Macaca mulatta: one gene and its partners. The protein of the gene in region 1 purifies or fractionates together with the protein of each later gene. This does not show direct contact. Links are inferred from orthologs where the notes say so. Each region holds a gene or a part of one and is shown in the gene's direction. Other genes may lie near its edges.

Region 1 (3,651 bases):
TCAGAATTTTGTTGTTGGCAATAGTCTCTATATTCTTGGAGAAATCACTTTTCTTTCGTGAAGAATCGGTATTATATATCTCCCTTTCTACTTTAGAGACAAGAGTGATTAAATTAATGCTGGTAAAGCTTTTGTCGTTTGATTTTTTTGTTATTTTTATCGTTTTCTTTTCACCCAAATATTTCTTCTGGCTGCCTGTGGGAAAATATTACAGCTATTAACCTTTTAGTTTTTGCCTATATACAGATACACAGAACACTTGGAATTTGGTAATATCTTTCCCCTTATTTATCCTCATTTTGAAGTTTTGCTTGAAATTCAGGGAGATATTCAAAAGAAGGATTTTAACTCAGAGAAAATGTTCAACAACTGAGATTATCTGAGAACAGATCTTTTATTCTTCCTACAAATGAAATCTGGCCAGTTAGCATCATTAACAAGTACAAATGTTCCCATAGAAGTAGCTTGTTTGGGCTACAGGGAAACATGAAATCAGTATTTGTCCTTTTTAACCATCTTATAGCTAAACCTTAGCTTCCTAAAGTAAGGGTAGGCTATGTAGTCTTAATTGCCTGTGTTTGTTTCTTAGGGGGAAGAAATTTGTGGCAATGAAAGTAGTTAAAAGTGCTGAACATTACACCGAAACAGCACTCGATGAAATCCGGTTGCTGAAGTCAGTGAGTATTAGATTATATGTATGAATGCAAAGAATTATAAATATATCAAGTTTCATTGAATTAAAGCACACCAAGTGGAGACTCCTCAGCATGGATAATTTTCTCTATAAAGTTCTAGTATCCTTAAAGAGGTTAAGGAAGACAACAATATTTACACATTCCATGCATGTAGTAGGGAACTGGTGGGAAATGCTATGATTAGAATTCTTACACACATGAACCAAAAAAAACCTTTCAAATGAATAAAAATATTCACTGAGCATGTTTTACAGGCCAGGTAACTACTGTCATAATGTTTTTCTTTCCTACTATGGTTAAAAGGAAAGTTGTGTAAATAAATGTATAGCATCTTTTTTGTTGTTTTCAAATATGTTATAGAATACATAATATAAAAATACTGTATTTACTGATTCCATTTATACCTGGAAACTGAGATAAATTCTATAAAAAATGTACTTTTAATTTTGTTTTAAATTAGGAATATGCCATTGTGGTAGAAGGAACTTAAACTCAGAATTAGAAAACCTGGGTTTAGGTCACCTTTACCCCGATATGTTCTCCATGTTACCGTGTTTTTCTTTCTGAGTTTTAGATTTTTTATTCATAAAGTGAGAATGTTGCACCAGGAGATTTCTATGGCAGTACTTTTCTTATTTTCGACTCCTGGCCTCAAGTGATCTGCCTTATTAGCCTCCAGAGTAACTGGGGTTACAGGCACAAGCCACTGCACCTGGCTTAAGACAGTACTTTTCAGAATGTCCGTTTGTGACAAGTTTAGGAGCCTTGTACCTACCCAAAAGTAAATACTGTTTTCTTCATTGAGAAAGTTTTTCCATGAAAAAAAAAATGTTGGCTGAAATAAACAGTGCTGTTGGTGCTATAGTTGATTCGCATCCTGCAAAAGCTGCTTAGTTCCTCATAGCCTGGTAATCTGCAGTTAATTTGGAGGCCACACTTTGATATCAGGGAGCAAAATAGTTTAGCAAAATTAGAAAAATAGTTCCTGTTGGTTGTATTTCCTCTTATGAATTGACTAAGATTTTTCTCCATTAAAGCTATTGAAATTTTAGTATATTTTAAAGATAGATTTATGTGAGCTCTTTCTTGTAGTTAATTTGCTGTAAGTATTCTTCCCATACCATTTGGCTTATTTCCATGCTTTACTCTCTTTTCCCCACTACAGGTTCGCAATTCAGACCCTAATGATCCAAACAGAGAGATGGTTGTTCAACTACTAGATGACTTTAAAATATCAGGAGTTAATGGAACACGTATCCTTTTAAAAACCTATTTGAGAATAAATCATCCCAATCCCAAAGAAAGGAACTAGATTTGTTGTGTAGATGGCCTTGGTGTCTTTTCTCAAGGCAAACTATAATAAAATTACCTCTTTTATTGTACACTTCTGAACACAGCTCTGAATTTTGTCTGATTTTGTGTGGTGTGATTTTTCAGGATATTGCTTTAAGTTTTTTGTCCCCTTTTCAGGCAATTAGACCGAAATCAAAGAAACTTTTAGAAAATGCCTTGTATCACCAAGTAAAGAATCTATGATTTTTGTTAGCACAGAAACCTTAAGGGAAGTAATTTATTATGAAAAATAGTGTGTTGGCTGGGCATGGTGGCTCACACCTGTAATCCCAGCACTTTGGGAGACCGAGGCAGGTGGATAACCTGAGGTCAGGAATTCGAGACCCACCTGGCAAACATGGTGAAACCCTGTTTCTACTAAAATACAAGAATTAGCTGGGCGTGGTGACAGGCTCCTGTAATCCCAGCTACTGGGCAGGCTGAGGCTGGAGAATCACTTGAACCCGGGAGGCAGAGGTTGCAGTGAGCCGAGATTGAGTCCACTGCACTCCAGCCTGGGCGACAGAGCCGGACTCTGTCTTAAAAAAAAAAAAAAAAAAAAAGATACTGTCTAAAAGAAAGAAAGAGAAAGAGAAAGAAAGGAAGAAACTGGGTAAACAATTTAAAGTATGATTGTATTTATTATACTAAGCCTCAACTTTGAAGAGGCTGTGAATGTAGATTATGTTTAGAGTCTAAAAGGGTGTAATTATTCGTGTTCTGTTATAATGAAAAACTGACTTGTTTTATGTTTTTATCTGGATTTTTAGAATTGTAGAATTGGAAGGAACTGTAGCTGATTTTCTTCACAGGTATCAAAGTGATGTGCGGTGGGCTAATTGAAAAGTTGTTGAAACAGCTATGCTTATAAAGGTCAATCAGATTTTTCAGTAAAAGTTGAAGTCGAATCTTACTTAGATTGGAGAATCTAAAATACCTGTTTATAAGCTAGTCTTAAAATGTATAAAGACATTTCATATATTATTTTACTTTTCATGCATGTTTAGCTTCCTTTAATGCACATTCCTAATTGCTGTTGATCTTTTTTTATTTAAAGGAGACAGGATTACATGTGACTGTAGTTTCATGTAGACTATGGGAAGAGATTTGAACAGAGAAGCAGGAAGGAAGTTGGAAAGGAGAGAAAACAGTTGATAATGTGGAAAGACTATTGTTCTAAAGTCAATTCTGAGTCATTTCTTAGAAAAATACAAATCACAGATCCCCCAGATGTCTAAGGAAAACTGCTGCAACCATCTTAAAACAGTATCTTGTGCTTATTGTGGTCATTTTGTAGATGGCTTTCTCTCTCTCTCTCTCTCTGTTTTCAAAGAATTAATAATTCTAACCAAGAAATTTTTAAAAAACACACACAGGGTGTCATGATGGCCGTATCTGTTTTTTCTATTATTTAATCTTGTAATGTTTTTCATTGTGCCAGATTTCTTTACTAATTTGCGAAAGTTCCAAGTAAAACTATAGAAATACTCTCAAATCTCCCCGGTAATGCTGAGTACCTTTATTTGACCCTAACTAAGCAAAGAAGGCTTTTTAACTATTGAAATATCTTAGTATGTTTGAATTTCAAGTTCCAAGATATTTTTCTTTTCTTTTTCTTTTTTTT
Region 2 (3,751 bases), on another chromosome or scaffold:
AAAAAAAAAAAAAAAAAAAAAAAAAAAAGGAGCAGCGATAGGACACCGCGGCCGCCAATCAACCTCAACTGGAGGCAGTTGCACTCCAGCCTGGGCGACAGTGACTCTGCCTCAAAAAAAAAAAAGAAAAGAAAAGAAAAAAGAAAAAAAAAAAAAAAAGAAATGGCTCCCTTAGTAGAGCTGATGCTAATCCACTGTGTGCGCAGTTCCTATAATGTAACCAGAAGGACTGGCAGGTGACGGGGGTACGTAGGAGACAAGCCATTTTAAGAGGAGGGAAATTAAGGGAGCAGATTCGGAGGGATGGGCCAATTTTACTGGCACTTAAGATATTAGTGAGATGACTTGGGCCAGAGGCCGGGATTTTGCACTTCATTTACTTTTCATATTGGAGAGGAATAAGGAAGTCAGTTGGTTTGGATGGAATATGTGTTGTCTGAAGAAGGGTTTAATAGGCTGAGAAGCAGAGATGTCTACGAGGTAGCTGACATTCGAATCTGGACCTGAGAAAGGCTCTCGGGTTGGAAAAACGGCAGGGCTGGTTAGTTTTCTACACACTTTAACACGGCCTAGTCACCGCTGCTCCCTCCTCATTTTAAGTAAAGTTCTTTCTTTATTCATATTGCACGCCGGAGGCTTCATTTCGCGCTTTTTTTCTCCTAGGCCCGGGGCTAGGGCAAGTCCTTTGCGCCCGTCACCTAACAACGCCCCTCAAGCCCTTCCCCGCCCCCGCGCCGCCGGAAATCCGAGGTCTGAGCGAACCTTTTACTAGGCACTCTAAGGAGCAGCGATAGGACACCGCGGCCGCCAATCAGGCCTTCCAGATACCCGGATGTGAGACGGTGCGCGATACAAAGGCGAGTTTCCACCCAGAGGGTCGTCCGGTGCAATAGCCAATAAACATTCCCCAGACGATAAATGACAGGAAAATTAACCAGTTACAAACTAGTTTCTCTCACGCATGTGGAAATTCTTCTGCTTAGTCTAACCCACTGCCAATTGTGACTGGATATCATTGTGAGAAGCGGTTGAACTGTCTAATTAGGAGCGGGAGCGAAAAAACACACAGCCAATAGGAAGATTCTTAGGGATGGGGCGGGGACTAGGCCTTCGCCTCGGCGGCAGAGGAGACTCGGGGGCCATTTTGTGAAGAGACGAAGACTGAGCGGTTGTGGCCGCGCTGCCGACCTCGACCTGCAGTCGGTTTCTTCACGCCGAATCCGGGAGTAGGAGACTCAGAATCGAATCTCTTCTCCCTCCCCCCTCCTGGTAAGTGGAGAGGGCGGACGCAGGGAAGGCGCTGGGTTTTTTGGGAAGCTAGAGGGGGTGTGGGAGAGAATATGAGGGAACCCTTCCCCCTAACTAACCGGGCCCTCATTTATTCTGTTTGTTTTGGGGGATTAGGTCTGAAGCGGGAGGCGGTTTTACAGGCCTCAGCCTCTGCGTAGGTTTAACCTGGTGTCCTCTGGGCCACGATCGCCAGGGAAAATGCCCTTTTTTCGCTCTTCCTGTGTTAACGGCTGCTTTCCTTTCATTTTCTACGACCGCGAGGACTCCGGGATCCTGAAAATGAAGATCGCGATGTTCATTAATATAGTCGAAGTTAACATAGCGCCGATGCCTTCTATTACCTCGGTTCTTCTTACATGTAAAAATTGGGGGAGGGGGAGGGGGAAGGTTACCAAGTAGATGTATCGCGAGCCTTTAAATCCTGGATCGTGCCGCGTGGCCTATGAGAAAGGTTTAACAAAAGATTTAGCATTTTACTGATAACTTTTTATTTTATTCCTCTCTATGAGCAAATAATGGAGCTCGAAGTAGTTATTTTCACTTACGTTTGTAAAAGGAAATATTGTGTATAACTATATTAATAATTACAGCTGACTTTTCATCTGCAGGTTACAAAACACTTGAAATATATAAGTTAGTGGAACTTTGCTTGAGGTAGGTATTAACTCTCTTTCTCAGACAGAAACTGAGGCAAAGTGTTGATTGCTAGGGTCATAATTAAGTCAGTAGCAGAACTACTAAGGAATTTGACCACGAGGTCAGTCGAGTGGTTTTTACCTGGTTAATGGAATACCGGGTTCTAAAAGTACAATATTTGAATCTTTGCAAGAACCTGATGACGGAAACCACGAGGTAACTGGAAATTCCCAAATTGCGCTTAAGAAAAATACTACGAGACTTGAGAATTTGTTGTTAACGTAACTTCCTAAGTGTAAGATGACAAAATTTGACTTTCGGGTTATTCTGATGTTAATTTTCCCGTCCACCTAAACTTGGGCAAAAATTCACAGCTACATTTTATTAAGCAAATATTAACAGTGCTGTTATTTGCTCGGTGCTGAAATTTGATAAAAAACTTGTAAGTTAAAGTTACAGATCTTTAGTGTCACGTTCACTTATCTGGGAAATCGGTTTTTTAAATCCTCACATGAGATTTGGTTATTTTTTACAATCTGTTAATTTCACAAAAACTAAAGCTGTTAAGCACAGTTTAAACCAATTCTGCCGGGTAAGAAATTTATCTGTAAGGCAACCTATTTGATAGGAAGTAAAATAAGGGTCAAAAACATCGCGACCCCTTTAAGTTTAAATATATTATTACAGGAACTTAAAACTAAAGTTTATCATCGTGCTAAACTGTTAGAAATGAGGTAAAGGCAAAAATAGATTAATGGGGAAATCATGTAGTAAAAATGTTGGCAATGAGAAATGTCAGAAGTTAGTATTTAAGAACAGTTGATAATAGCTGAAATTGATTGACAGGCACTTTTCTTTGCCTTTGAGGTGTTAGAAATACGGGTTCCTTCCGATCAGTATGTATATCAGATCAGTATGTATATCAGCGTACCAAAAATTCTTTAATATCAAGAACTGTTTGCCACGGCATTTATATCACAATTCCAGGTGTGTTCTCAACTGGATAGGCATTTAGTAACATTTTCGTATTGGCTAGCGTATTGGCTAGGGGGAAAAGTTGAAGGATGGCCAGGTTGCAGGTTTTCTGACCTTTTTTTCCCCCCATTCGTGTGCCACTCTTGGGAATACTTGGTAGTTGATGTTCCTTCTGTGGAGAATTTAAACAGCTTACGTTTGTAATTAAATCTCTTAGAGGATTTGACATGGCATTCGACCTTGTTTTGGATGGAATGGCAGTGCGACACAAAGAATAAACTCAAATAGCTAGTTGCTCTAATTTTAAAGACTAAGGGGCAAATTATTAAAACTTAATATTAAGTGTTGAATGTGAGGTGTTGAATAGGGAGTAAGTTTGCCTAGGAGGAGAAATAGATTTTAATCCTCCTTGCTTAAATAAGAGGACTTAGACTTTTTTTTTTTTAACTTATTTGAATTTTTAGTTTCTAATTCAAATTTTTCGTTGCCAGAAGACTAAAAACTGTACAGATGCAGTCTTTTTAAAGCAGTTTTTTTTTTTTTTTTTTTTTTGAGACGGAGTCTCACTGTTGCCCCAGGCTGGAGTGCAGTGGCACAATCTCGGTTCACTGCAGCCTCTGCCTCCCGGGTTTGAGCGATTCTCCTGCCTCAGCTTCCCAAGTAGCTGGGATTACAGGCGTGCGCCACCACGCCGGGCTGATTTTTATATTTTTAGTAGAGACGGGGTTTCACCGTGTTGGTCAGGCTGGTCTCACTTCTGAGATCAGGCAATCCTCGTGCCTCCGCCTCCCAAAATGCTGGTATTACGCAGGTGTGAGCCACGGCACCCGGCCCCAGTTTTCTAAATTAG
Region 3 (3,651 bases), on another chromosome or scaffold:
TAAACAAGTAAACTTCAGGTGATTCTGATGCCACCAGACTGGTATTTGGGAATCACTGGTTTAACAAAAGTACACATGGTGATTTGGCATGGTATTCGTATTTTAGGTGAAAAATGCACCAAGTAGGTGAAATAGAATAGTTTTTATAATGGCAGAGTATTTTTAATAATTAATCTCCTTTGCCCTCTTTTGAAGTCGCTCCCCAAGTAGGGAGAAGAAGAGAGCTCGTTGGGAGGAAGAAAAAGACCGATGGAGTGACAACCAGAGCTCTGGCAAAGACAAGAACTATACCTCAATCAAGGAAAAAGAGCCTGAGGAGACCACGCCTGACAAGAATGAGGAGGAGGAAGAAGAACTTCTTAAGCCTGTGTGGATTCGATGCACTCATTCAGAAAACTACTACTCTAGTGACCCCATGGATCAGGTGGTAGGTCCGAAGTAGCAGACAAGCTGTAGACCAGGGTTTCTGTGTGTTGTCACTATTGGCATTTGGGGCTGGATAATTCTTGATTGTGGGGACTGCCCTATGTATTGCAGGATGTTTAGCAGCATCTCTGGGCTCTGCCTATTAGATGCCAGTAGTACCCCTCCCCAGTTGTCTTCAAATATTGCTAAATGTCCCTTGGGGGGAAAGATCACCCCCAGTTGAGAATCACTATTACAGACAAAAGCTGTTTTAAAAAGCGAAAGGCCAAGAGTGCAGTAGGTTAATTAAAGTATCTTTTTACAATGATTTTTTTTTTATTTGAGACGGTCTCGCTCTGCCACCCAGGCTGGAGTGCAGTGGCACGATCGTGGTTCACTGCAGCCTTGATCTTCCAGGCTCAAGTGATTCTCCCACTTCAGCCCTCTGAGTAGCTGGAACTACTGGGACACGAGCCACCGTGACTGGCTTATTTATTTATTTATTTATTTTTTAGTAGAGATGAGGTCATACTGTTGCCCACTCTGGTCTCGAACTCCTGAGCTCAAGCAATCCTCTGGCCTTGGCCTCCCAAAGTGCTGGGATTACAGGTGTGAGTCACTGTGCCCAGCCTATTCTACATTTTTAATGATACTGGTAGTCTTGATACTGGTGGTTTCATAAGGTTTCATGTGTAACTAGTTTATGCAGTTTGTGGTGTGTATGTGTATATGTATGTGTTTTTTTCCTCCAAAATGAGAAATAAGGAAGAATTTGAGTTTGTCTCTTCGAAGTGTATCCTTGACCAAAAGAGCACCAACCCTATGAAGTTGCCCATGCATATCAGCTAGTTTTGCAGAAAGGGAGAGCCATTGTCACCCTTAATGGGCTGGAGGGAGGACTCCTAGAGCATATGCTGCCAGGGCTGGGGTGCCTGTGGTGATACATTGCCATCGCAGACTCCACCACTATCTCTACATGCTCACTTCTCTTTTCTTTCTTCCATCTCCATTTTATTTTCTGTCCCTGTCTCCTTTTTGCTCTCTCTTCCCCTCTTCCTCTCTTCCCCTTAGGCATTATGCCTCCATCCTGTTAGGCATATTTGCCACAGAGTAGGCATGCAGTAATGTTCATTGATTAAATGAATGAGTGGACATCTCTTTCATTTAATCAATGAACTCATGTACAGATTTAGGGCATGAGAAGTTGCAGATGTTAGATTTAGTGCATGGGATTAGGTAAGAGATAAGAGAGGGTTTTGTTTGGAATTTTGTGAAAATAGCTTCTGTTTGGACTCGATCTGTGGGGAACTTGAGATTTCTGTGTTTTTGGAAACAAAGGATTTGAGAAGTCTCTCATAGTGGTGTGATATTTTATTTGATAAATTAGAGCAGGCTTTTAAGTCATAGTTGATGTGGTACAGGGAAGGGAAAGCTCACATACTGTGCGCTTTCACGGTGCCAGAACGTTAGTCCATGCTTCTCATGTTGTCTTAGTTAACCCTGAAAATACCCCTGGCAAGAGGGTCTTTCTGTCAGTTAGAAATGCTGCTGGGAGTAATAACACCTGACTAAGTGGGACTTAAACAAGCTGGATTTGTTCTTCTCATGATAAGGTACCTGGAGGGAGGCCATGGCTGGTGTTCACTGAGTGGCTTAGTGATGGCAGGCCCTGCTGTCTTCCTGAGCATCTTCCACAGTTGCAGGATGATGCAGGACCAGCAGGCCTCAGGTCCTTATACACCTGTGTCCCCACATGCAGGATGCAGAGGGCATGTTGGGTGAGCATTCTTCCAGTGTCTTGCCCAAGCTCTCCTTTCATCCCTTGACTCCCCTTCCATCCCTTTACCAGAGCCATGTGACATGCCTACCCCAGGGATTTGTTTTTCCTTACTGCCATGACAGAATTCCACAAACAGCATGGCTTGAAACCACACACATTTGTCCTCTCACAGCTCGGGAGGCCAGAAGTCCAGCTTGGGTCTCACTGGCTCCATCAGGATGTCAGCAGGTCTGTGTTCCTTTATGGAGGCTCTGGAGAAAATCTGTTTTCTTGCTCATTCAGGTTGCTGGCAGAGTTCAGTTCCTTGTGTCTGGAGGACAGAGGACCTTGTATCCTTGCTGGCTGTAAGGTCAGGGCACTTCTTCGTTCCTCCAGGCCATGTGCATTCCTTGACTTGTGGATCCCTTCCTCTGTCTTCAAAGCCAGTAATGGTGGTTGAGTCCTTCTCATGGTTTAAATATCTCTTGCCTCTTTTTCTGTTACATCTCTGACCCCTGTTGGCAAAGGTTCCCTGCTTTTAAGGGCTCCTGTGCTAAGATTGGGTCCACCCAGCTGCAAGTCCGTTTTGCCATGTAAGTTAACATATATATTTAATTTCTGGGGATTAGGACATGGGCATCTTTGGGAGGGGTGGGTGGCTCAGTCTACCTTCCCAGAGATCAGGAGTTCTCTGCCCCAAATCTGATAGAATACTGCTTCTATTAGGAAGAAGGAAAGAATGGCTGCCATAGGTGTTATTATTCTTAAAACAATAAAGATGAAGACACTGAAGTTCAGGGAGTTTAAACAGGCAGAGCTGGTTGTTTTTTTATTACATATTTATACGAGTATATTAAAACTCCAGTGTAGGAGGAAGACTGATAAACTCAAAAGGCTGACATTTGCCTTTGAGTTTTGTCGTCTGTGGTGCAGAGAAGGTGGTGAGGGATGTCAAAGCTATACCGGCATTGCCACTCTCAACAATGAGATGCGGCCTGAATTATCCCTTCTTCTGGGTACCAGATTTTATGATTTGCCTTAATTTTACATTTGGCAGGTCTGGTTTTTACATTTTAAGGCTACTAAGTCAGAGTGTGGACATGTAAAATGATTTTCAGCCTGGAAAATGAGTGAGGAAAAGTGGAAAATTTCCTCTAGGAATGCTTCGTAGAGTCCCATGTTTGTTCTATGTGTTTGTGTGTGTGTGTGAAAGAGAATGTGTGCATGTTTATATCCTTATGTTTAAGGCATGAGTGTGTGTGTGTGTGAGAGAGAGAGAGAGACAAAGAGGATATATATGATATTCCTTGTTCCTTGTTGGATTAGTATAGGAGAAGACAGATTATCAGTGATTTTTCAGTAGGAAGTGTACATTCCCTAGGAGGGTATTTGGTGTCAGTTGTTACGATTCTCTGAGGTCATGATTTTTAAAAAAAATGTCATGTTAAGAGGGCGTAGATGAACTGTTATAATGTTTCTTTTCTTTT

Evidence for each region.
Region 2: the proteins of SRPK1 (region 1) and HNRNPC fractionate together in Homo sapiens (co-fractionation; 3 studies listed by BioGRID and IntAct, with this or other methods). This does not show direct contact. The link is inferred for Macaca mulatta from reciprocal best matches to the Homo sapiens genes SRPK1 and HNRNPC.
Region 3: the proteins of SRPK1 (region 1) and DROSHA purify together in Homo sapiens (affinity purification with mass spectrometry; 3 studies listed by BioGRID and IntAct, counting the BioPlex papers as one, with this or other methods). This does not show direct contact. The link is inferred for Macaca mulatta from reciprocal best matches to the Homo sapiens genes SRPK1 and DROSHA.

The regions. Positions count from the first base shown.
Region 1 is NC_133409.1:146,368,316-146,371,966, forward strand, and holds part of SRPK1 (SRSF protein kinase 1), read left to right. Parts: intron 1-589; coding exon 590-677; intron 678-1,860; coding exon 1,861-1,948; intron 1,949-3,651. UniProt on the Homo sapiens protein: Serine/arginine-rich protein-specific kinase which specifically phosphorylates its substrates at serine residues located in regions rich in arginine/serine dipeptides, known as RS domains and is involved in the phosphorylation of SR splicing factors and the regulation of splicing.
Region 2 is NC_133412.1:94,116,883-94,120,633, reverse strand, and holds the start of HNRNPC (heterogeneous nuclear ribonucleoproteins C1/C2), read left to right. Parts: upstream 1-1,097; 5' UTR 1,098-1,269; intron 1,270-1,898; exon of another isoform or gene 1,899-1,944; intron 1,945-3,751. UniProt on the Homo sapiens protein: Binds pre-mRNA and nucleates the assembly of 40S hnRNP particles. Interacts with poly-U tracts in the 3'-UTR or 5'-UTR of mRNA and modulates the stability and the level of translation of bound mRNA molecules. Single HNRNPC tetramers bind 230-240 nucleotides.
Region 3 is NC_133411.1:32,870,494-32,874,144, reverse strand, and holds part of DROSHA (ribonuclease 3), read left to right. Parts: intron 1-195; coding exon 196-427; intron 428-3,651. UniProt on the Homo sapiens protein: Ribonuclease III double-stranded (ds) RNA-specific endoribonuclease that is involved in the initial step of microRNA (miRNA) biogenesis.